2 linked regions of the Astyanax mexicanus genome follow. The protein of the gene in region 1 interacts with the protein of each later gene in a biochemical or structural test. Links are inferred from orthologs where the notes say so. Each region holds a gene or a part of one and is shown in the gene's direction. Other genes may lie near its edges.

Region 1 (13,280 bases):
TTAATCAGATTTCATGCATCTTTGCATATTCTCCTCCACCAGTCTTTCACACTGCTTTTGGATAACTTTATGCCACTCGTGGTGCAAAAATTCAAGCAATTCAGCTTGGTTTGATGGCTTGTGATCATCCATCTTCCTCTTGATTACATTCCAGAAGTTTTCAATTTGATAAAATTACAGAAACTCATCATTTTTAAGTGGTCTTTTATTTTTTATATTCCTATGGACCATCCCATTCTAATGTATGGAGTTTGTCCATGTAGTGTAGAACATAAGAGAGGATTTTCGTAAATTTTAAAAACATTTTTAGGAATCTCGTCCCCTGGGGGCCTTTACTCTTCTAAGAGGGCTTTACACTAGATGTTGGAAGATGTCTGTGAGAATTTGATTGTATTCAGCCAAAAGAACACTTGTATTTGTTATTGTATGAATGCCAGCTTCTGTCTAGTTTGCTAGCTCGCAGTTGTAATAATTGCAAATAGTTGTGGATAAGAATATTTACATTTGTATACATTTGTATTTATTTTAGGTTAATAATGCCAAGTGATTAGCTGCTGAGTAGGCAGGCACACCACACTACAATAATAAGAGTCAACAGGCAACTCTGGATATGAGCCTCAAACAGAGAAAATAGCATTCTGAAAACCCTGGTGCCTCTAAACCTTGGACAAGAACTTTTTCACACCATTTCAAGCAGTCTGCAGCACTGAAACTCACAGACTTATGCATGTATAACATGTACAGAATGAGACTGCTTCGTTTTCTTACCCCTTCCTACTTCGGGACGTCCCAAACACTCAGTCAACATATCTGTGCCCGTGGCTACAGTTGCCATGGCTGGCTGACAACAGTGAGAGTCCCCCTCTCAAACACAGAACTGTACGGATATGAAGTGTTCTGTTAACCATGCCAGCGGGGAACCTATCACTTAATCCAGTCACATCCCCCCTCCCCAACCCAAATCCTGTCAGACCACGGTCCCTCACCCCACCCCTCAACTTTCTGTTCCTCTTCTGTTTCCATCTCCCTCAATTTCTGTCCTGCGATGCCCTCCCCTCATCCCCCAGCTCTTGGTTTGACGCAGCTGTTGCTATGTTTTTCATGGTATCACATCGGTAACAGATCCGGACTGACCCAAAATGAGATGGAGACATTTTCCAAATGAGAGTCGAAAAATTGTATCTCTGATCTCAAAACAATACACATTTCATATAACTCAAATTAGGCCAACTAAAAACTTAAAGTCAATTTTTAAACTTGTGAGTCCTATTATTAAAGGGTTTTTGTGAAGCTCCAGAACTATGATGCTATGTATCTCAAATCATATTGGTGTAAAATCCTGTAATTATACTCTACTGCCTCAGTCTGCATATTTCCTTCACTTCAGATGCTACTTCTGTGTCTCTCAGCTAGTCAACAATTGCAAGTTTACAGCTGCCAATGAGTGGATGTTCAAGGTTCTGTTAGTATTCACAGCAGTGGAGAAAAAGTAAATGGCACACCACAAATATAAGAAGTGCCAAGGAGCAAATTATACCTATTTTTGTGTAATGCAACTTGTAAAACTCACAGACATAGAGCACCTAAACAGCACTATTGTTTAAAAAATTTCTTTGCATTTTTTATTTTTAACACAACATTGTGTATCTGGCTGTTATAATATAAATCATATAAACTGCATTTTAAACAGGAATAGTTATTATTGAGCTGCACTGTGATGTCATAATGCATGTGAGTGTGAAAGATCAAAGTGTTGTATGGAACCTTGAGTGTGTGTGTGTGTGTGTGTGTGTGTGTGGGTGTGGGTGTGGGTGCGTGTTCCTGTGTGCGTGCCCTCATGCTTCCTGGCTCAGAACTTTAGAAACGGTGTTGGTGAGGTGTTGGTTTTGTTGCTGTGGCGACGTAAATACAAATGACAGTCAGATGTAAACTGATTTATCTTTGCCATCGCAGGTATGCAGGGTGTGTGTTTGAGCACTTGTGTGTCTGTGTGTGTGTTTGAGTGTGTCCACTGACCCGAGGTCACTGCGTCTTGATGTGATGACGCGTGACAGTTAATCTCAGACTGGGTTGTGTACTGGATTGTTTATTTGTTTACTCGCCTGACTGGCGTCATTATTACTGGACTGGAATATGAGAATGTCATAACATGGCCCAGCTCTGACCTGCTGACCAGAGGGGAATTTCATAAAGCTGGATTTATCAGGAGGCCAGAAACATCAGTTAGGCTTAGTCCTTCAGTTTTAACTCATGGCTTAATGGGCAATTCAACTGATTACTTTTTACTTCTGCATAATTAAATGATTATTATGCAATTAAATGCATATATTTGCATTGGGTTTAGTCCGAACTGTATTTAAAGAAGTGGTTTTCAACTGTTGGGCCACAGCTAAGAGGGTACTTACAGCTTTTGCCGACCTGTTATGTTTTGTAAAATAAAAATTCTAATTTTATAAATGTGTAAACCCCAACAGATGTTTCATAAAAACTTTAGTTTCCTTTCAGAGTTGATTTTTTTATGAGATACTATACTAATAATATACTATAAAATACTCCTTCAAACTTGGACCATTGATTGCAGACAGGATTTGTTAATTTACACAAATAAAAATTTAATTGTTCTACGAAATTCATTCAAGACCATGTTGCAAAAATGAGTACACCCCAATGAAAGGCTAAGGATCAAAGCTAGAGTTTAGACCAAAACATTTTTATTAACACAATTTATACCCCAGGTGATTCTAAATATCGTTGCTGTCCAGTGAAAAACACTTATCTCCAAAACAGCAACTTTACAGGAGAGAGAAAAAAACCTTGTAAACTTTCAATGAAAGTCAATGTAAAAAGAGTTTTGTTTCAGGTCATTTTGAAGCATTTCTATTGGTCCGTTCATCAAGAAATTTTGGCACAGTGTAAGGGACAGTTTGTCTGTTCAAATTATGTAGTAAACCATAAATCTACAAAAATGGAGATAAGTGTTTTTCATTGGACAGCGACGATATTCTTTACACAGGTGCCCAGCATTACTTAACAAAAAAAACTTCCCTTTTCATTCTGTCAACAATGGCAATATATGGAAAAGAGAGACAAAAATACCTGAGATTTTTTTTTTTACACAAGAAAGGTTTAGCCTACAAAGCAAAGCTTTGCTTATCGATACAAGATCAGTAAAGCCTTACTTATCAGTCAGAATACTCAAGCAAATTCATAAAAAAATGAACAAAGATGGAACTGCTACCATCTCACAGAAGTTAACACCTAGACAGGAGCGTCTTCTCGTGAAAAGTGTTGCATAAATTGTCATGTAGTTTAACTGCAGTTAACTAAAGGAGTAGAAAGCTAAACTGGGGTGACTGTTTCCTGTGACACAATATGGCATACACTGCAGAGAAATGACCATAGACATGTATACACAGATGCCGCTTCGACTGACGCCATCTATTGAAGCTGGCATGTCAGCCGGCCGCCATAATGGAGGAGTCAAGCATGCGCCCTCAGTGCATTTAGCAGTACTGAGGAAGGTGTTTAATACACCTATAATCACAACTCTTTTTTTTTTTACCTCATTTTCACACGGTTTGGTTTGTTAATAATGTAGTAATGATACATAATTTCAAATATGTGCTTTTATGCTGAAATACTTACGTATTATGCTCAGACATATGGTATGGCACATTAATAATGTAAAATGTATTAAAAAATAATTTTATATTTATATACATTCACACACACATGGCTTAGGCACGTGGCTTAGGTACACCATGCAGAGAAACTATGTTCCTCCGGACCCATGGTGCAACATGGAACAACAATACAGTAGACAACATACAGTGCAAACGTGCAGCATACTCTTGCATGATTGCGAGTTTAAGTTGGGTTTTAGCAACAATTACTAAACAAAACAGTTTTTTGTTACCGAAGTGGCTGCTGAGACTAGTTGGACTTCCATCTCAAATGTCAAATTATAAATAAAATAAAAAAAACAAGCAAATTCGTTTTCATTATTCTGGCTCTTTTTGAACAGGGTAAGTGTATCATGTTATGTTCAGCATAAAAATAGTAATAAAAGTAAAGATAGAAAAAGAGAAAGACAGAGTTGTGTTAAAGTGCTAATTGGGACTGTGATTTTATCAGCTACTGCAAAAAGATAGCACTTACAGGTGTAATGAGACAGCATCAGTTATAGTCACATGACACTCCTGAGGTATTTTTAAAATGCTTTCCAGTGGACGACAGTGTGCTCATCTTTGGATTGTGTCACAAACCAGACCTCTCTGTTTGCATGTGGGTGTATATTGGCTAATGTGCCCGAATAGCCCTGGGCCTTATGACAGAGCATGGGTTTGTTGGGTGTGTGTGTGTGTGTGTGTGTGTGTGTGTGTGTTTCTGTTTACCTTCACCACAGAGTTCAGTCAGAGGTTTAGTTTATGTGTGTCTGGCCTGTCTGAACATCCTGAGCTGCTGTACGGTGATCATGGTGGCCTATTATTCCTCACAGAGATTTAGAGCTTAAGAGGCTGAACATGTAACCTAGCAGCAATGACAACTATGAATCGGACTAAACAAAACAGTGCATGTACAGTGGCATTCAAAAGTTTGGTCACCTCTGACCAGAGGCGTGCAGACATAGACATCAGGTGGTGCTAAGCACCACCAACTCTGCCCTTTATCAACCAAAGTGCCCTTTGAAATTTCGTTTTTTTATATTATTATTATTAAGATTTTACTGAGGCCGGTTTGAAATCATCTTTTGAAAACCTGAGCGATTAAAAACGAGTGAAAACAGAATGCCCTGAAATCAGCTCGCACACACCCGACCTCTCTCTTCCTCTGTCACGTGACCCCGCGCGGTGGCGCGCAAGGCACATTAGTTGCGCTGCAGCAGCAGTTCAGTTCAGCGAGTCTTCAGCACAGCACGCACGGCAACAGATAGGCTTCTTCTCCCCCGTGTCCCACCAGCCAGGTAACATACACATCAAGTAAAATCGTACCGTTTACCCTCTAAGTCCAACGTGAAATCATTTTGTTGTGCAGTAAAATGTCTCATACAGCACCAAACTACTAAGCATCTTTAGCCGACTGGTCACCAAATAAACTAGCCGCTCTAGCCCAAATCAATGATATATCACATTTTTTTTATAATGAAGTGTTCCACGTGCGCTAAAAAGTGCCCTTTTTCCCCCCTGAGCACACCACTGCCTCTGACCAAGGTAACATTTCTATTCTTAGTGAGTAGAAGATGAACTGATCTCCAAACGGTTAAAAAGTTGAAGATGAAACATTATTTTAAACATTTTAGGCAGGTTTAGTGTACAAAAGTAAAGTAGCATCATACAAAACATACAAAAAGTAGCTCTCAGACTATTTCTATCAAGGTCTTAGAGCTTAATCAATTTTTTAGGGCAATGGCTTATTTATAGTCGTTGTTAGAAAGAATCAGATTTTGCACATTTTCAACCTCTGTAAAGTCTCCTTATCCTCAAACCTAATCTCAACAATCATCGGCCATGGGCTTGCTTCTCTAAGCAGCTGCCTGACACTAAACATTATAATAATAGATGACCTCAAAGCAGGAGAATGCTGTAGGAAGGAGAAGAAAGCAAACATGTTCAGGTGTCCATTTAATAAGAACATTTACAGTCAAGTTGTTGCATGAAAGAAACCAAGAAAGAATTCTGCATTGGTGGTGACACATGCATAAAATATGGTTCCAATTGAAGAATATTAATGAGATTAACACCTCTTCCTCCGCCCTTGCCACAAAAATCCACTTTTTTTATGTTAAATTACTAAGTATTGACCAAGGAGGGTGCATTTCGCTTTTGTAAAATAATGGTATGACCAGTAATGAGCAATAGATAATAAAGCAATGCAGTTTGTGTGATCTCCACAAAAAAAACCAATGTTTCAAATACAATGTTTTTTTCTCTTTTAATAAGGGCCAATCTTGTCGCTTGTCATGTTGACAACAAACACAGTTTGTCACAAAGATTTTCAGCTCTCATTTAGAAACATTTCGGTACAAAACATGGGACTTGAAACATGAAACGTTTCGAAACTGTGTGACGTAACAAAACTTGATTTGGGACAGTCACATGTTTTTTTCAAATCATTTTATTTTTAATTTTAATCCCATTTTTTCTCCCAATTTATGCAGTGTTGATGCCCCACCACCAGGAGGGTAAAGACTCCTCCGATACATGTGAAGTCGGCCACCGCCTCTTTACAAACTGCTGCTGATGCAGCATTGCTGAGTAGCATCACAGCGCACTTGGAGGAAAGCACAGCGACTTGTTTCTGATACATCAGCTCACAGACTCCTTGTGCTGATTGACATCACCCTTTGGAGTGCTGTGGGTACACAGCGCCATCTACCCACTCAGCAAGGCCAATTGTGCTCTCTCAGGGCAGTGTATTGAAACACTGTGATTTAAATAAATCGATTTAACCCCTGAACCTGCTTAATTTTTTATAAACCTGTCCTAACCTTTAAAAAAACACTTTTATTGCATTCATTTCCAACTCTGCAGTGCCCTCACAGGTTCAACTGTGCTATAGGCGAGGATGCTGTGTCTGTGAACTTTGGTATGCAAATCAGTCAATTAATAATACCGGCCCCTGTGGACGTCCAACCATCTTCGTCTCACCACTATCAGAGGCACACTGCTCAGCTTAATCAGCGCTCCCTTCTGTCCACGCCCCTAAACCCATACATCACCCCAGTGTTTCTTAAAAAACTACCCCTCCCATTTTTCTTCTTTTTTTTATTTGAGCTGAGGGTGGAGTCAGGGGGTTTAGTTACCCTTTATAGCTGCAAAGTGTGTGCCGACCTCATATTAAACTCTATGGATTTTATATGAGTTTATATGTGTGAAAAGTCAGACTTTAATGTTTATTTATTAAGTAATTTTTATATTTCAATGATAAAATAGTTATTATAAACAGTCTATATTTAAAAAAAAACATTGTCATTTTCAAGAACGTGTCAGCTACAGTATTTTAACGCTATTTTTTAGTCAGGATTGAGAGAAAATTTTGAATAAAAAAAGGAATTTCAAAAGAGTTTGGCAGAAAATATTAACATTTTTCCTAAAGTTAGCGTCTACATAACCAGCTAACTAACTAGCTGAGGTTTCTCTTTGTTAGCCAGCTGAGCCGGCTAACTACATTTCCCACAATGCATCTGACAGTAATCAGTGACGCTGGCAGCTTTTCTCCCCGTTCTCCATCCACTACACAGCAGCAGCAGCACTCAGTCAGCAGCAGCAGCAGCACAGTGTGTGTTTATGTTCAGAGCTGCAGGGGGAGAGCGGAGCGCCGCCGCCGCCGCCGCTGCTGCACTTATTTATGACCTGCCGTCTGTGGGGAGAATTTAGAGAGCAGGGGTTTCACGAAACCGGGTCAGATACAGAAACCGGGTCAGACCCAGAAACACAGCGCGCTGCTCGCGTGTTTATTCTTCTGACATTTGAAAGAACTCCTCATACCTTGCCTTTGTTAGCAACTTAGCAACTGGGCTAGCTAGCTGTAGTATTGTGTGTGTGTGAACCGTTTTATTGAGCTAACGGCTAACAGACCATTTTTACAGTTTTTTAATTTAAAATTATTAACGGCTGTAACGGACTCCTCTCTGAGAAACGACTAGAAGAAAAGCGGTGCATACAACTAAAGATATAAAAACAAGAAACCAGCGAATTTGTAAGTATCTGGTGCTGTCAGCTTTGTTTCATTTTACGTTTTAGTTGACTTTCCAAGCTGTTTTTGTGTAAAACACATCTTTCATACACTTATTTTCTTTGGGTTAGCTGGCCAAATTCGTCAATTGAAATGCTAACCATGTTATGTTAACATTTTCCCATGAATTAACTAGCTTCTTAGCTGTAATAAAGACAATACAGTATGACAGTATTTTATTGCATAGTGATACAGCGTTAATTTGTTATCGTAATATTCTATAACCTGCACAAGCTTTTTAGTCTATAGTAACACAATATCACGATATCACCGTATTTGTAAGTATCTGGTGCTGTCAGCTTTGTTTTATTTTTTCATTTTAGTTGACTTACCAAGCTGTTTTGTGTAAAACACACCTTTTATACACTTATGTTCTTTGGGTTAATTAATAAAAAGTGTCAATTATAATGCTAACCATGTTTTTTTTATACAATTTTCCACAGAATTAGCTTTTTTGTTGCAATATGTAGCTAGTTAGCTAGTAAGAGATGGACAATACAGTTTGACAGCATTTTATTGTATCGTGATATAATTAGTTGTTGTAATTAATATTCTATAATATACACAATACGTTTTAGTCTAAACCATTTATACAAGTACTAACTCAGTAAGTTACTGTGTTTTAATGGTAAAAACTTAAATTACAGTAATAATACATAAAATATCTGCCTTGCAGTGCTTGTAAGTTCAGATATCAACTATTTAACATGTAGTTCAGCCTGTCAGTGTATTTACATTATTGACTTAAAGTACAATAAATGGACATGACAGTTATAATATACTCTATAAAAGATAATATAATATCTTTAATAACTAACATAATAAGTGACATGCATACACATACACAGTGTTGACTGCAGTAGGTGAAGAAAAAAAAGTAGCTTATATATTTCACAAACTGTAAATTACTATTTATTAAAATGTTGTTGCCCTTAAAAGTTATAATTGCTTTATTATGCTATTCTATTATCATTATATCAGTGTCGTTTAATTGTCTTAAAATGACAATAATAATGTTTATCGCAATAATTTCTAGTATGAAATATTGTCCACACTAAATTCTTATCTTGACAGGCCTACAAGTTATAATATCAGATCTATACTAGTCATATTACCAGGACCACATTATCCCTAATATATTTCTGACTAGTCCTATATTACCATTGATTTACACAGAATTGTACGTACCATTAAATACATAAGTTACCAACATCTATAGCTACTTTTTTTAAGAGTAGAAATTGGAGTTGTATCTCAGCTGCAATGCTGCCTAGTACAAAATCCAGGACTACGTCCGTAAATATATTCCGACTGATACAAATGCTAATGCTAATGAGCATTTAGCTATTGACTGTAATATATATTATACATAATCAAAATTCCATTAAAAATTTGTGCTCCTGGTAATGCAATTAGACTGGTTTTATGGATCTGGTAAAGAAAATCACAGCTATCATCTTACTCTTTGATTAGTTTGGTCAAGCTGGTCATAGTGGTGGATTAGTTTGGTGGACAAACTTCTCATGGTGGTCAACCAGCTCAGTTATACTCAGTGAGTTTGTGTGGTCAAGGTGGCCATGATTGTATGTCAGCAAAACCAGTCATCATCAGCACAATTCAGTAGAAACTTTAGATTTGTTTTATTTTAATTTATTTGACTTTTTAGAAATGATACCCTCAAGACAAGTTCTAGGGTAGTGTTTTTAATAGTTAATGGCTTAAATGGTTCATTCCATTTGCAGCAGTATACAGCTTTTGCGTAGCAACCTGTTGGACCTGTCCTAAATGTAAATGATAATGTTTAAGTACAGCTTTAGATGACTGGATAAAGTGGTTATGTATTTAACAGTGCAGTTTGGATTGGCTTCTGACTATTTGCATTGCCCTCTGGACTGTTGTGTCGGGCTATTGTTCTGCTGAATTTCACCCCCCCACCCTGGGGTGATTTGCATAGTCAGATAGCGTCCTCCAGGCTCAGCATCTGGCTGGCCGAATGGGGCTTTTGTTCCGTGTTGACGTGCTGCTTTGAATCACTTTTGTTGACATCCTTAACCCCCCCTTTCCCTCAGGCCTTATGGACGACCAGGAGTCCGCTTTGTGTGGAGCTCTGCTTAAATTATTATTCTTCAGCTCTGGTTGCCAATCATTGATGTGTATGTACTGTTGGTTTCTGACATTGGTGAGCTTGTTCGCTTGCTCGATTTCTTTGGACATTATTATACTTTCTGCTTTGTGAAAACAAGCTAAAATATTTCATGCTGCTTTTTTGTAGCTTTACCAACTAATTATTATATATATATATCTTTTTTTTTGTACTAAAATCTAAAGAAGTTCATCACGTCAGTTAAACTGTATGGTTCAGAAAAAAATGTAACTTGTGGGCCTATTTTTTTTTTTAACGACAACAAAAATGGAAAAATCTATTCAAAATTTAGAATGAATTAAAATCTAAATCTCTCATATCTGAAACACACTTTTAGATTGTTCATCTGTGGCACATTTATACAAAATTACATCGTCTCAGACCAGCCAGAACACGCATAGAGATTTTTTTTTTCCTCCTCATCATTTTAAATTACGATGTTGGGCACGGATGGGTTAAAATGTTTAACGACCCATGTTGAAACACCTTTTTGTGCAGCCTGGACATTGATGGAGCTCCTTTTCCTGGTCCAGCTGAGTCTGCGGAGTGCATTGGCTGGAGGAAAAGGGTGTGGAACATGCCTTTCTAATGCAATCAAATAAACACGGGTCCTTGAATGCTGGCGCCCAGCCAGTGGTGTCACTTTCCACTCTGAAATATAGATAAGAGACCTGACTTACTGCGGGGAAACTCAGCACGGGCCGCTCCGAAACTGGTGTCGTCATCCTGATTCACTCGAAACCCAAAGCCAGTTTGCTCAAATTGTTCAAAAATGGAATGGAATGGGAGAAGAGAGTAGCATAAATATTTTACTGGAACTTAAGATCTTAGACCTTCATAGCTGGCCTTTCGTTGTTTATTTTTTTCTGTCGTTTTAGTCTGGCGTCAGATATCTATCATATGAAGCAGAGTATCCTGTCAAACCTGGTCTGCAGACAGTCTTATGTAAGAGATTTAGAAATGTGTATGTCATAACATCTAGTCATAGGGGTTAATTGATGAGAATCTAAAAAGTTATTTTAATTACTTACATTTACATTTTTTAAACATTGTAAGCAGTAATGAAAAGCATGGGTGACTGATGTTGGGAGCAGCAAGGGTCAGGGGATTTTCTTGACCTCAATTTAGGGTTATTAGCTGAAAAACTGGCAGCTGCCTAACTTAAAGCATTATGGGGTGGCAGCACTTACCGTGTTTGTTTCATGTTTAGCTGCTCTAGGCAGTAGATTGCACTCTAGTTCATAGATCGGATCAGCTCAGTGTCAGCATTGGCGTGGAAAGGTGATATCTCCTCTAAATCCAGCTGGACCTGCAGATCAGATAGCTGTGAGGACGTATAATGGCTTGATAAAAAAGACCGGAAGGGAAGACTCTTCTGCCACAGCTCTATAAAGGTTTTAGGCATCTAATCACATGTATTATAAAAAGAATTCTCTCAACAAAAATAGTTTAATTTAAAGTAGTTATCAAGAATACTTTTAATCTAATATTAGAGCTAATCAACACTTACTGCCCAAATAAAGAGTCCTTGAGACCATGATAATGTATTCAATTCGAGCAGCCTGAGGATGAATCAGTCATAACACGGTCATAACTTTATTTCCTCTGCTGATACAGCTCTGTCACACACTTTTTTTTTTGCCCTGTAACATCACTCACTTTCTCATGCTACGCCACCGTTGGAGAAGCCAAAACGGAAAAGATTTGCAAGTGTGTTGCCCACCTTTTCTTTAATTCAAAGAAAAGGTTATGCTGGTTAAATGGATACCGTGTGAAGAAACCTGGTACTTTTGAGGGGGAATGGTGCCAGATAGCTCCAGGATGTACATTTGTCATGAGAAACAGCTGGCAAGCAGCATTGTTTTGATGCATCACACTTGCGTGATGGAAATAATCAGGTGTTGTATAGTTGTATAAACTTATGTTGAACTTGCAAGACAAATTCTGTTGTATAAATATTACTATAGTCAGTCATATATGATAATAGTCAGTGAAACCAGCAGAATAGTCTCCTTATTTACCAACTTGTTGAGGATATATATAGTTTATAGTTGTTATTAGGATTGTTCCATTGTTAAAATATGTAATGTAAGGGTTGTTGGCATATTTTCATCATAAGCAAATTAAAATTTGATGGTTTTGTTTCAGATGTTTCATATTATAGAGAAGAAAATCTGAATATTTTTAATCAGTTTTAGCAATTTTACTGGACATGCTCTTTTAAAGCTGCAGCTTAGTGTAGTGTTTGCTTCATCTATTCCCCATCACTATTTATTTTCAGGAAGGAATCTGCAGTGTTGCATCATCCCAGATATTTTTTCCAATGTGGCTATCCTGCAAGTTTGGTCTGCCTGTGCGTGGTGAAGTTTAGGGGATTATGATTGTAGTGGAAAGTGGGTCAGACAGTGGGGACATGAGCGGGTGGTGGTTTAGTACTATATGTAGCAGAAAAAATTGTGAGCTGATGTCCAATATTTTCTAAAGAATTTGGAATTCACTGAATTATTCTTTATCTTCTTCTGGTTTGAGTTTCCTGTTGTGGACAGGCAAGGGTTTAATAGCATTGTAGAAGACATATTGCAGGAGGACCTCTGGAGAAACTTGGGGTTAAGTGCTTTACACAAGGTCACAGCAGCAACAAGCAAAGTAGGGCTGGAGGGCAGTGGAACCCACAGTAGCAAGTGCCAAAATTTGGGGATTTTGAGGGCTCATGTGAGATTACAACAGCAGGTAACATCAGAAGGTCAATTAGGTGAAGCAACTTTAACCAACCTTTTTCTGGAGCCTCTGTCAAAGTTTAAAGGTAGTTGTACTTTGGTTGATCCTGCTTCTCTGTGATGCTGCAGTAACGCTTTGTTTCAGTCACAGTGCAGATAAAACAGAAGACCTCTTCCTACCATTTACCAGTCTCCTGGTCTGAGTTCCTGTTCTGCCATGCAGTATTCAAACCAGCGACCCAGTCATCAGTGGTATAACAATCGTGCTCCACTTATACCAGCCAAAATGTGCGTTATGGAGTACAGCTGTCAGAACTCCCCAGAACCCCCGCTGTTGATACGGATGCAGCCATATTTTACGTTAGCTTTTTAGCAGCTTTAAGGACTGCAGCTTTTCCGCTTCTCTCAGCTTATTTTGTTTTATTGCCTTTTTCTGTAAACAGCACTGCTTCCTGTATATTGTTTTATTCTAATGGCTTTCTGGCAGGTCAGGCTGTCCGTTGTGGTTTTCCTGGTGTTATCAGTGTCTGGGGGGGAACTGCGGATTAGACAATGATAGATTTGTGGCGTGGGCCGCTGTGTTGTTTTCTGCAACAGTGAATACCATTATTTCTTACACATATCAAACCTTCACAGACTGGAACGATATAGTGTTTGTGTGTTTGGGTGTGTGTGTGTGTGTGTGT
Region 2 (12,409 bases), on another chromosome or scaffold:
CTGGCTAGCACCCCCCACCCCCTCCACTTCCAGTTTAAAACAGACGTTGCCCTTGTGTGTTGCTCTAAAAATCATCCTCCCCAAATCTTAACCTTCACCTCATGAATGAAACTGCAACGCTGATCTCACATCAAGGTTAAAGGGCAGCTATTGTCAATTACACATACCCCCCCCCCCCCCCCCCCCCCCCCCCACATCCCGTCCACATCCCAAACAAGTACCACTGGTGTTGGTTAGCCCCCATCAATGATTCACTAGAGATAATGAAAGAGACTGTTCAGTAATCAAAGGTCACAGGACTGAGCTGTAACTGCCCACTGATTCCCAGGGATTTAACTCAAGGCTATATCCTGTCCGAACCTGAACAAAAGAACACAAGATATCAGGAGGAGCTTTTCTGAAATCCTATTGTGCTGATAAGAAGGTTCCTCTGGCTAGGTGAAGGCTGGAATGAGGATTGAATGTGACACTACATCAATGCAATGGGGTGACTTATATGTGGAGGAGACTGGTTCTTAACATGCCTTCAAAATAAATCCTTTAAAAGATTAAAAGGAGCTAAGGAAAGTAGCCTGAACAGAAGCTAGTGTGCTTGTTAGCATTTAGCAACACTTTCAGAATGCTACCTTATTCTAACATTAGTTCACAGATTAAAACACTGGGAGCATGGAATACACCTGTTTCTATCTACATTAATTACCTATATTAGCTTTGCTAACGCTAACAGTGGTTAAACTAGAGGTTTGTGTTGTTGTCCAACACAACAATCACTTACTTCAGTCACACGGCTTTTAATGTCAAACACAGTATTCTGACATGCCACTACTGCCCTCTATGTGTTGGAACAGAAAACTGGTCATTTAAAATAGTCAAAATAAATATACAATAATAATAATATAATATAATACTCATGCTCTAGCTTGCAATATAATTGGCATACAGTGTTTTTTGCAGAAACTGTGGTGGTTTAAAGGCTTTTCTTGCATGTTATTTAAAGAATTTATGTAGAGAATCCAAACTTTTTTTATTTACTATTTGATTGAATAAAAACAAAGCAAGAAAAGGAAAAAAAACAAGACAGCAGTAAGTGATAATTTACATAAGACAAATTAGGCCTATCTGACTTCTACAAATGGTGTAATTGAACAGCAGGTACGCTAACAACAAAATATATTAGTAATGTTTTTGTTAGCTACATGTCTGGTAGTCAATGCTAGTAACGAACGAGAACAGTTAGTGTAAGCTTTTTGGGCATTTTTGTCTTTACAGCAACTCATCCTATTTTCTCTACTGAAAAGGACACCATTTGGAACACTCTCTGATAGAGTTGGCATAGAAGGCACTTTATAGCATCACCATTTACCATTTAGCCATACACAGGCACTCATTAAGGTAAATGATCAACATCATTTATTTTAAGAAGGGGCACTCTATTTTTGCCATTATAAAAAGCACTTATAGGGTTTGGATGCACTAGAGCAAGGGCAGCTGCCTCCTTGACCCCTACTGTGTTTGCCAATGAGAATGGAGTTTTCTAGAAAATCTTACTTAAGACACGATTAGGTTGTATTAATGATTACATTTCAGGCTTTGGCCATAGTACTCTATTAGGTTTTCATAATGGAAAGAATTGTGTGTGCTCAAGAAACCAAGAAACACACTGTGGATTCTTAATAAAAAGGAAAGTTTTATAGGCCTACATCCATCAAAAATCCATAGTGCCCTTTTTGTACTAAAGCATATACAGCTCTGGAAAAAAATTAAGAGACCACTTCAGTTTCTGAATCAGTTTCTATGATTTTGCTATTTATTGGTAAATGTTTGAGTAAAATGAACATTGTTGTTTTATTCTATAAACTACAGACAACATTTCTCCCAAATATTGTCATGTAGAGCATTTATTTACAGAAAATAAGGAATGGCTGAAATAACAAAAAAGATGCAGAGCTCAAGACTTTTAGACCTCAAATATTGCAAAGAAAACAAATTCATATTTACAAAGATGTAAGAGTTCAGAAATCAATATTTGGTGGAATAACCCTGGTTATTAATCACAATTCTTTATGCATCTTGGCATATTCTCCTCCACCAGTCTTACATACTGCTTTTGGATAACTTTATGCCACTCCTGGTGCAAAGATTTAGGCTGTTCATCATGGTTTGATGGCTTGTGATTATTCATCTTCCTCTTGATTATGTTCCAGAGGTTTTTAATTTGGTAAAAAATCAAAGGAACATATAATTTTTAAGTGGTCTTTTTTTTCCCCAGAACTGTATTTATAGAAGGCATTTATCCCTTCATAACAAATATAGCACACTAAGATTAGTCCTTTAAAACCAACCAGCCCAATACTAATCAAATAGAATTTTCTATTTGTTAAATCCTCATTGTGAAATTCCAGACGGGTCCAAATAGTTCAACAACTGTGCCTTAGCCATTTAGCCTGTGTTCACAGCGATGCTTCCCCCTCCTGAATGCAGATGCATGGTGAATCTTCAGTTCCTTTGACACACAGATTTGGAGAGGATCTCGAGATAGTGAGGAGGAGAGAATGGAGAGATGGAGAGAATAGCCCCCCATGGCTCACCCTGTCTGTCAGAGCGAGAGGGGGAGGAAGCTGGCAAGACTCTTACAGAAAGACAAATAATGCCTATAGACTCTGTCCTCTTCTTGTGGCTTTCATTCCGGTGCTTTCTCTCAATTGCACCCCTGCATTCTCTCCTACTCTCTTCATGTTTTTGGGCTGCTTTCATTCATATCAGCTACAACACTAATAGCTGAAACTCAGCAGTGGAAGACAACTGAATTAGAAAGCTGCCCAGCAAGATACCTAACTACAACACCAAGGTTTGTAACAGTCCAGTGCTCACAGTATCCAAGGAACTGAATGAGCTAACAAATTAATATTATTCTAGATCCCCATATGTAGTTATTTAGCCTGCAGTGGTTCTACATACTACTGGACAATATGGTAAAAAAACTATATATCCAAATATTTAAAGAGATTTTTTGTTGCAGAATGTATCAAAATGTTTTGACACGCAGACAAAATGCAGATGAAAAACTGGCAAATTCTTAAAAACTACTATTTAAAAACTCATATTCATAATAAAGTTAATTTTATTTAGTTTCTGAATGATTCAGGACTAATTTAGGACATACAATTATTGAGGACTAATTGTGCTCTTTGATAAAAGTGTGTATTTAAGCACTGAAAATATTCTTGATATGCTTATAAAGCAGATTGTTGGAAGTATATGAAGTTCATATTATTATATATAGTATATACTATATTTATATGATAGTATATGGATATATATAATTTAACTTTCTCAATATTAGATTTGAGTGCAGACAGACAGTAATACCCCCAGACAAGGTGCCAGTCCATCACAGGGCACCACACACAAACATTCACTCACACACTTTGATCTAGAGGCACCTATCATGTATGTGTTTGGGAGGTGGAAGTAACCTGGATTACCTGGAGGAAATACACTGAACACCTCACAGACAGTGATATGAATGAGGATTGTTCCCACAATCCCAGGCCACAGGATATGTGCAACACACAAACACACACACACACACACACACACACAAACACACACATAATTCAATATAGCATACTTAACAATAATGCAAAAATATATATAGACCTTAATAGTGCTGTTACAAATCTAATGTTTACAAATATAATTACTGCTTCTCAATAAATGAATAATAATTTACACTTTTATAGGTTTGTGTGCCTGCCTTCGTGTAGTCATGTATTTATATTCTGGCAATACAAAGTAACTATTAATATTTTAGTCAAGACCAAAACATGTTGAGCAGTAAAGTCCAGATCAAGCCTGAGGCTGGGAGAGAACACAACAAGACCAAATTAGTTTTTTTCTTCTTTTTTTTAATAATAAATAAATAGAATAATTTGTAACTCATTGTACATTCATCATAATTTATTGTGCATGAAATGAATAAATACATCTCATATATCTTCTAAAATATAACATTAAATAAATCTGATACCTTAGAGCTACGTTAGGAGAGCTACGTTAGGAGAGTAAGAGCTCTTTAAAGACACCCCTAACAAACTAACTACTTCCAACCTCATTTTCTTCTTCCCCTCCTTTACTCCTCTATCCCATTATTTCCCTTTGACCTCCTTTAGGCCCTATCTAAAGATGTTTTTATCTTTAACTTCTATTACTTTTTGTACTTCACTAATGTAAGTAACGTTAGACAAAAGTATCTGCCAAATGTAATATAATGTAATGTAATTAGACAGAAGCAGACTCGGCTGATCTTAACAGCCCTTCACCATGAGTCCAAAAAAGGACGAAACTGCCTGCATGTTTATGGTCTTGAGACTGGTTTCGAGACCAAGCCAAGACTTAGCATTATAATACTAGTATTCTACTCTTTATTCCTCTGTTTTGTTGGGGAGTCCCTTTCATCACTGAAGTTATGACTACACACTGTGCTGAGTAATGCTGCTGACAAGATGTAGATCTGCATAAAAGATTTGTATTGGCTTTTTTTTTGTTTATTTGTTTTGTCTCTTATGGCCATAAAACCTTATTTTAGCTGATTCATTCTGATGTCTTCTGACAAACTCCATATGCACATATCTATCCACTCTTTCATACAGTCCAGTTGTATGCATATGTTTTATGTCATTGCCTAGTGTACCTTCACTTCTGTCTCAGTCACTGAACTCTGCAGCTCATTCAAAGTGAGTGTTGGTTCTTTCAAAGGTTCTCCCTTTTTGCTCTGATAGATGGATAGTGATGCAAAAGTATAAAAACTATATTAGAAAATTCTATTAATTGGATCTTATGCCTCTACCAGCAATAACAGTGAAGTAAATAATGCAGTCAACAAATTAAAAAAACAACAATTTTATATGTACATATTCTGCACATATACAGCATATAACACTGAGATTTGTTTAGACACTGACTGGGTGTAGTGATAGATCTTCTATTACCTCACAGTTCATGCAGCAGTGCTTACATTGTAGCCTTTTCCTACCTTGTGATTTTTTTATAACCTTATCTTTTTCCCATGGATTTTTTTCTGAATTCTCTCACAGTTTTTCTTCATATTCACAGTCTGATGAGCAGTATTTGTGGGTTAACCCCAACTCCAATGTTTTATTTAAAAAGGTGTGTTTTTGTTAAAAATGATTTACAGATAGAGTAGATAGAGTAGATACATTAGCAGCTTTGCCCTCATTAGAACAATCTGTGCGAATGAAGCATTATAAATGAAGCATTATAAATGAATGTATAAATGTATATGAATGTACTTGAAGATGACATCACCCTGTCATTGCTATGATTACTGTTTCACATGCTGGTTCACTTTGACACAGAGGTCTTTCTGACATCACATGATCGGCTCTGACCACTTCCTATGTGAAATGTTTTGCTTTGGATGGTTTGGATGATTTTAATTGCTCTGGCATCTCTTGGCCGGATCTCTTATTTTCTAACACCAGGAGGGCTTCCTCTCCTCTCTCTCTCTCTCTCTCTCTCTCTCTCTCTCTCTCTCTCTCTCTCTCTCTCTCTCTCTCTCTCACATCTCTCTATCTGTCTCTCTCGCTCTCCCTCATTACAGTTCTTATTATTAGCAAAGCAATCTAATTCTAAAGCAATGATATTATAATTTGTATTTTTATATATATTCTATATACATATTATGCATGAAAGATTTATATTGGCTATTTTTTGTTTGTTTGTTTTGTCTTTTATGGCCACAAAATCTTATTTTATCTGATTCATGCTGATGCTTACTGACAAACTCCATATGCACTTTGTTTTTTTTTCTAGCCAGCCTTTCATACAGTCTGGTTGTATGCATATATGCATTTAGAACAAATAATTACTCATTAATGTCATTTAATATATTAATAATAAATGTATGAATGTGATTTTTATGAGAAATAAGAAGATACTTATTTAAATGAGAGCTGACCTGAAAACACACCTGTTAAATGAGAATGGCATGGTGTGATCAGTACTCATTCTCACAGTCATATACTGCCCTCTACTGTCACACAGTGATATTACCGATTCTGATATTACTGATATCACACTTACTATTTGGGATTTTAATCCCAATACTTACTTTACAGGTGGCTGTTTTTAAACAGCAGTGTGAAATGAAATTTTTAGCTTTTTCCAATCAGTTAAATTTTGTAGGTGTATATTGTATAAATAATAAATAATTGTGGGTAAATAGAACAACATAACTGCTGTAAATATATATATATATATATATATATATATATATATAGAGAGAGAGAGAGAGAGAGAGAGAGAGAGAGGTTTTTTTTTCTAATTTTTGTTTTTCCCATTTTCTCCCCAATTAACAAAGCCAATTATCCAACCTACTCATTAAGACTCCCCCTATCACTAGTGAGGCAACACCAGGAGGATGAAGACTAGCACATGCCTCCTCCGATACATGTGAAGCCAATCACTGCCTCTTTTGAATTTGCCATGTAGTCAGCGAGCTCGGAAGTAAGCGCAACGACTCGGATCTGATACGTCAGCTCACACATGCCTTTTACTCACCCAGAGATGTGATCTCTCAGGGCTCCGGCAGCTGATGTCAAGCTACATGAACAGGATTATATCCGGCAATCTCCTGATCATAGTGGCAGCGCTTAGCCTGCTGGACCACTCTGACCCCCCTGCAAATATTATTTTATTGGAAATGACAGAATATTTGTTTGTTTTATTGGACAACGAACATGTACAGTATGTATATACCTGCACTAAACTTTTTTTTTTTTTTTTTAACCTTTTTCAGTTTTTCTGTACCTTAAGCCTCATGTGATTGTGGCCAGAGTGGTAGTGAGGTCAAAACGGGCAAAATCACCACTGGGGGCAGAACTGAGCAGTACACGAACACCATCGATATCTCACTTTAAAAGTTACCTACATGGTGACGCTCATAAACCCGAGCAGCCAGTCTGCAGTGCTGTGACTGAGCGGAGGAGCTGGAGATACATTAGAAACGTGTCAGAGATAAAGGACTGCTGAAGCTCTGTCTCCTGAGCTGAGTGAGGAGAGAGAGCGAGCTGGTTTCCGTGTTGAAGAGGTTCAGATGTAGCTAAAGGGGAAATAACTTCAAACTGAGGAAGTGTCTCAATATGGGAAAAACCCACACTCACACACTTAAACACACACACACTCTGCCATCATAAACTCGCTCCTCGGTGAATGTGTGTGTGGCTTTAGTCCGCGTATTGTTAAAGAAGCTGGTTTTAATTAGAGGTTGAGGGAGTCCTGAGGTCCAGTATGAGCAGCAGCGCTGTAACAGCTGATACCTTCATCAGGAAGCTCAGTCGCTCCACTCTCAGGACCCTCTCAGACTTCCTGGACCCTCAGGACGCGTGGAGAACTGTTCTGATGGACATACAGAAACCGACAGGAGAACCTAGATACACTCAGCTGCACCTCAGGTATTACTGGAGTCTTCAACATTTATTAGTTTGTATAAATAAATGTCGGTCTGTGTATTTATTTCAGTTGATTTGTTACTTTAGTTACTAATTCAGTTTAAAATGTAAAACTCATATTATATAGCTGGATTACGCACAGAGTGATCTATTTTAAGCGTTTATTATTTTATTGTTGATGATTGTGGCCTACAGCCAATGAAAACTGTATCAGAAAATCAGAAACTTGTGCACTTTTGGCAGTGTGGGTAGTGTGCCAAGTCCTGCTGGAAAATGAAATCCTCATATCCATAAACGTTGATATAACACAGTGGACCAGAGTCTGAAAAAATAGTGGAGAACTGCTTGATGTCTAGTGTGAAGTTTGGAGAGTCATGTCATCTGCTGGTGTTGATCCACTGTGTTTTATCAATTCCAAAGTCAGTGCAGTGTTTTCCCAGAAAATCTTACAACACTTCATGCTGTATATATGTTTGTATGTCTGTAAGGAATCATGTAGCAAACTTAAAAAAAAATGTTTAGAGGGCTCTTTTCTCTGGTGCTGTTAACTTTTGGTTTCCGAGGCTGGTAACTCTGATGAACTTATCCTGTGCAACAGAAGTAACCCTTGCTTTTCCTTTCGTGGTCTGGTTCTGATGAGAGCCAGTTTCATCATATCGTTTTTGATAGTGTTTGTGACTGCGCTTACCCAACGTTGATTCAACATCATACGTTTAACCTTTAATAAACAATAGCTCAAAAAAATCCTATGGTTAACAAAGTGTTAACAATAAATTTACATCACTGTAGTAAAGCTGAGTATAACGAAAGTTACCCACCACTACCAATCTGATTCAACATCTGATCTCAAAAACGCTAAAACAGTAAAACTATTAGAACATGAACATGATGTTAAATTAAAAAGCAGTTCCTGCAAATAGAAGTAAAACACTTTTTCTTTCCTCCATCCAACCGTTTTTAGAAATTATATATGGTGATGAAATGTAAAATGCTGATTCAGAAGGCAGAAGGTTGAGGACATTATGTTGATTCAACGCTAAAATTTCAACGTTAGCACAACCATTGAACATTAAATGTTGATTCAACGTTAAAATTTCAACATTTGCAGAACCAATTAAAATTAAATATTGATTCAACGTTGTTTTCAGCGTTAAAACAACATAAATTACTTTTAAAAAAAGTATTTTTTGTTACTTAGTTAAATAGTTTTTGTCATATGGATCAAAACATTACTCAAATAGGGTTGTTCACTGTATACTAGGGGTGTCATGATTCTCTAAATCCTCGATTCGATTTTCTTTTTTTTACAGCAGAGAGGCCTATGCCAGTTTTAGATTAGTCAGTCATTGGTTTGATTCATCAAATTTACAATATCTTATTTCAAAAGGTGGGCTTGATGTAAGTGATGCAAAGTGATACAAGTGTTCTGTAATACACCACATTAGGCACTAATGGTCAAATTTAAATAATTTAATTAAGATATATATGGAATGCCATCTAGTGGCTTTTTTTGGTAGCAGCAGTGAGCGCTATAAAACAGCAACATAACAAAATAAATAATAAAAAAATACAAGAACAGTCATGTACAAAATAATAGAACAATTAGAGCCTTAACAAACTGAACTCTATCCTACTATAACAGTTAAACATGAAAAATAAGATATTTAGACTTTTTTGTTCCCTGAGAATGAAATTTTTTTTTTAACTGAGATAGAAGAGAATGTCTCTGGAGAAAGGGCTGCTCTTTGAGCAGTCACAATGTCCACAGCTGCAGTGTGCAGCGCTATTTGTGTAGCACGCGCGCATGCTTGCGTAGCTCAGAGGGAGGGATCGTCGATCATCTTTTTGACTTCGAGGCTCGAGACCATGACATAATTTCGATCGATTTCGATTCGACTGTATACCAACTCTACCTCTTCACAACTTTACAACTGATGCTCGCAAGCACATTAAGAGGGCAATCAATTCAAGTAATTAGCTCTTGACATTATGTATTTATATATATATATATGTCTAATCCATTCAGTTTTTCCTGCCATGTGAATCAGTTTCAGCTTTGAGATTAACAAAACTCTCTTTTATTAATAGGAGGTTTGAAAGGCTGTTGGCTCAGGGTAAAAGTCCCACAGTAGAGCTGTTGTATGACTGGGGGACCACAAACAGCACAGTTGGAGAACTGGTTGATATTCTTGTCAGAAACAAGCTGTTTGCTCCTGCTAGAGTCCTTCTGCCAGGTAAGAGATTTATAAATTAAATAACTGCTTAACAACAGTGGTGGTGATCAGATATTTATTATTGCTATTTTGTTTTGTTGTTGAGAATAAATTACATATCTTTTTCAAGAAACATACTTTAATAATTACGTTTTATTTTCTCCAGATTGTTACATCAAGCAAGTGTAGTTTAGTTTCCATTAAAATGTGTATTCTCTGTCAATGAGGTGAACTTGATCAGAAAATGATCAGAACATTTCACTTTAATCAGGATGCTCAAACGCTTGCTTATAACTGTATATGAAAGATGGAGAATCAGTGTTGTAGAATTGCTGTCATATTATAAGTTGGATAAAATAATATTGTGTCTCTGATATAAGATATAGCTGCAACACCTGCTCCAACACCTGTCACAAATCAGAGGGCAGAGAGAGATCCTCCCATTCAGTACCACCGGGAGGAGACTAAGCTCCTCAGACTCGCAGCAGAAGAAGCACATCACACCCCACCTGACAGCACCACACAACCAGAGGAGAACCAGGAGCCTGATGAAGAAGGTGTGACTATGTTTTTTATGTATATTGCTTTGTCCTTTTAATCAACACTTGACCTTGCCTCCCAATACAAAAAAGCAAAATCCATTTTACACTAATAAATGTGATGAGATCGACCAAATACCTGTTTAAATGTCAGTTCGCAATAAAATATCACATTATAAACCTAACATTTACTTTAAACCTACATCCAACAGTTAATAAACTGTTGGGTGAAATTTCAGCATTGTTTTGATTAGGAATGGGTTTAGGACTTGAATGAAAGTTAGAATTACTGCTGATATTCAACTATTTTTTTATATATGTATATATAAAATCCTGATTATTTTTTAATAATCTTGTTTTACTGAATTCAGGATTCTACACTTTTACATATCAAGAGCTGACGGTGATCACAGAAAGCTGGGATGAAAGGCCAGTTTCGGATGGAGGCAGGAGACTCGGGGAGGGAGGCTTTGGAGTTGTGTTCAAAGGCATCCTCAGCACCACACCTGTAGCAGTGAAGAAACTCAATTTAGTAAGTATTTGAATGCTAGATATACAGTTATGGGCTATAAAAAGCCTGAGCAAAATAAGCAGCAGCTGATTTTTTTGTAAGTTGTAGCCATATACACTAACATGTCAAAAGTCACGGGAGTGGTAGCACTCATGGCAGTTTAAAATGTATTATCATGTTGCATCCAAGGTTGATAGTGAGTGCCAGATGGATGGATGGGATACTTCATTTTAGAATTTGTGCAGGCATTTAATACTTTTCGATCCACAGTGTAACATATGTACCAGAAATACATCAGATCACATTATCACCCACAGTGGACAGCACAGTCGTTGGTGATGATTGTGACCTGCAACATCAGGTTTTCCAGAATTGTCAATGTAACAGACAAGTGACTCAATGTACAAAACACCACACACAGAGCACATCACACAGAACATGATAGTACTAGCATATATTATATGACGGCCCTCCAGGACCATTCTTTTCTTACGTTAAGATGTACTATGTACTAATCAGATTTTATTTTATCATTGTATCATTGTAAGTCAGATAGTATTCCTCATTATATGTGTGTGAATGTAAATATCTCAATGAATTTTTTAACAGATATATTTAAGTTGAAAATCTAAATTATATGCAGCAATGAGATAATCATTTCTGCTCTTCTTTCAGGAAGATGAATTAGAGCTGAAAGCTCAGTTCAAACAAGAGATTCAGACACTGAAGAGGTAAAGTACTAGCAGCAGAAACTTTACTGCATCTGTTTAATTGTTATTATTATATGTTAATTTGTATTTTTCACACATTTTCTTTTAGGTTAAAACATGTAAATCTGGTGAATATGGTGGGTTATTCCAGTGACGGCCAGCACCCATGTTTAGTCTATGCTTACATGTCAAATGGTTCATTGCTGGATCGACTAGCATGTGAGGTGAGTAAAGTCTGCAAATGTTGCACTTACACACTTACAAAAAAAAAAGATTCTGCCTGGCACTGAAAGATCAGAAAGGAACAGTAGTAGCTACACATCTCTAAGTTAGTATTCTCTTTTGTCTGTGAAAAAGCAAGAAGATCAAGTGCGTTGGAGTTTACTTTATTATTTATTAGCAAAGAGTGCTCGTAATAATTGATTTCAGGAATCCAGGGTTTTTAAAAGAGGACATATTCATAGTTTTTTCCTTTCTATGTAGGGGGGAAGTGATCCTCTCTTCTGGAAGTTGAGGTGTTCAATAGCATTGGGCACAGCAAGAGGACTGGAATACCTTCACCAACACAACCACATACATCGAGATGTGAAAAGGTATAACACTTACTAGTTCTGTTCAACTAGTACATCTAAATAAGAGCATATGCATTGTTAATGTTTAGTGTATGTTCATGCTTGATGGTAATTAGGACACAACAATAAAAAAAGAATATAATTTTATGTACATTTGATTTTTTTACCTTTTTCTACTGGCAATTGGCATTCACAAATTATGTACAAACGTTAAGTGTGTTACATGCACTAGTAATTACATCAGTTTTATTTAATTATAATGTAAACAGCATACTCAGATTATTTTAGATTTGTGCTAAAAGCTCAGATTCCTCAGTATATTCATACACTTACTCTCATTTCTTTTTGTTTTCTCCTATTCAAATTAGATTGGATCAGATTAAATTAATTTA

Evidence for each region.
Region 2: of the proteins of peli1b (region 1) and irak4, one has a biochemical effect on the other in vitro, tested with the Homo sapiens proteins (4 studies listed by BioGRID and IntAct). The link is inferred for Astyanax mexicanus from reciprocal best matches to the Homo sapiens genes PELI1 and IRAK4.

What each region holds. Positions count from the first base shown.
Region 1 is NC_064421.1:30,823,091-30,836,370, reverse strand, and holds the start of peli1b (E3 ubiquitin-protein ligase pellino homolog 1b), read left to right. Parts: upstream 1-7,236; 5' UTR 7,237-7,698; intron 7,699-13,280. UniProt on the Homo sapiens protein: E3 ubiquitin ligase catalyzing the covalent attachment of ubiquitin moieties onto substrate proteins. Involved in the TLR and IL-1 signaling pathways via interaction with the complex containing IRAK kinases and TRAF6.
Region 2 is NC_064409.1:52,322,583-52,334,991, forward strand, and holds the start of irak4 (interleukin-1 receptor-associated kinase 4), read left to right. Parts: upstream 1-6,911; 5' UTR 6,912-7,311; coding exon 7,312-7,475; intron 7,476-9,560; coding exon 9,561-9,706; intron 9,707-10,065; coding exon 10,066-10,242; intron 10,243-10,595; coding exon 10,596-10,756; intron 10,757-11,410; coding exon 11,411-11,466; intron 11,467-11,554; coding exon 11,555-11,669; intron 11,670-11,928; coding exon 11,929-12,038; intron 12,039-12,409.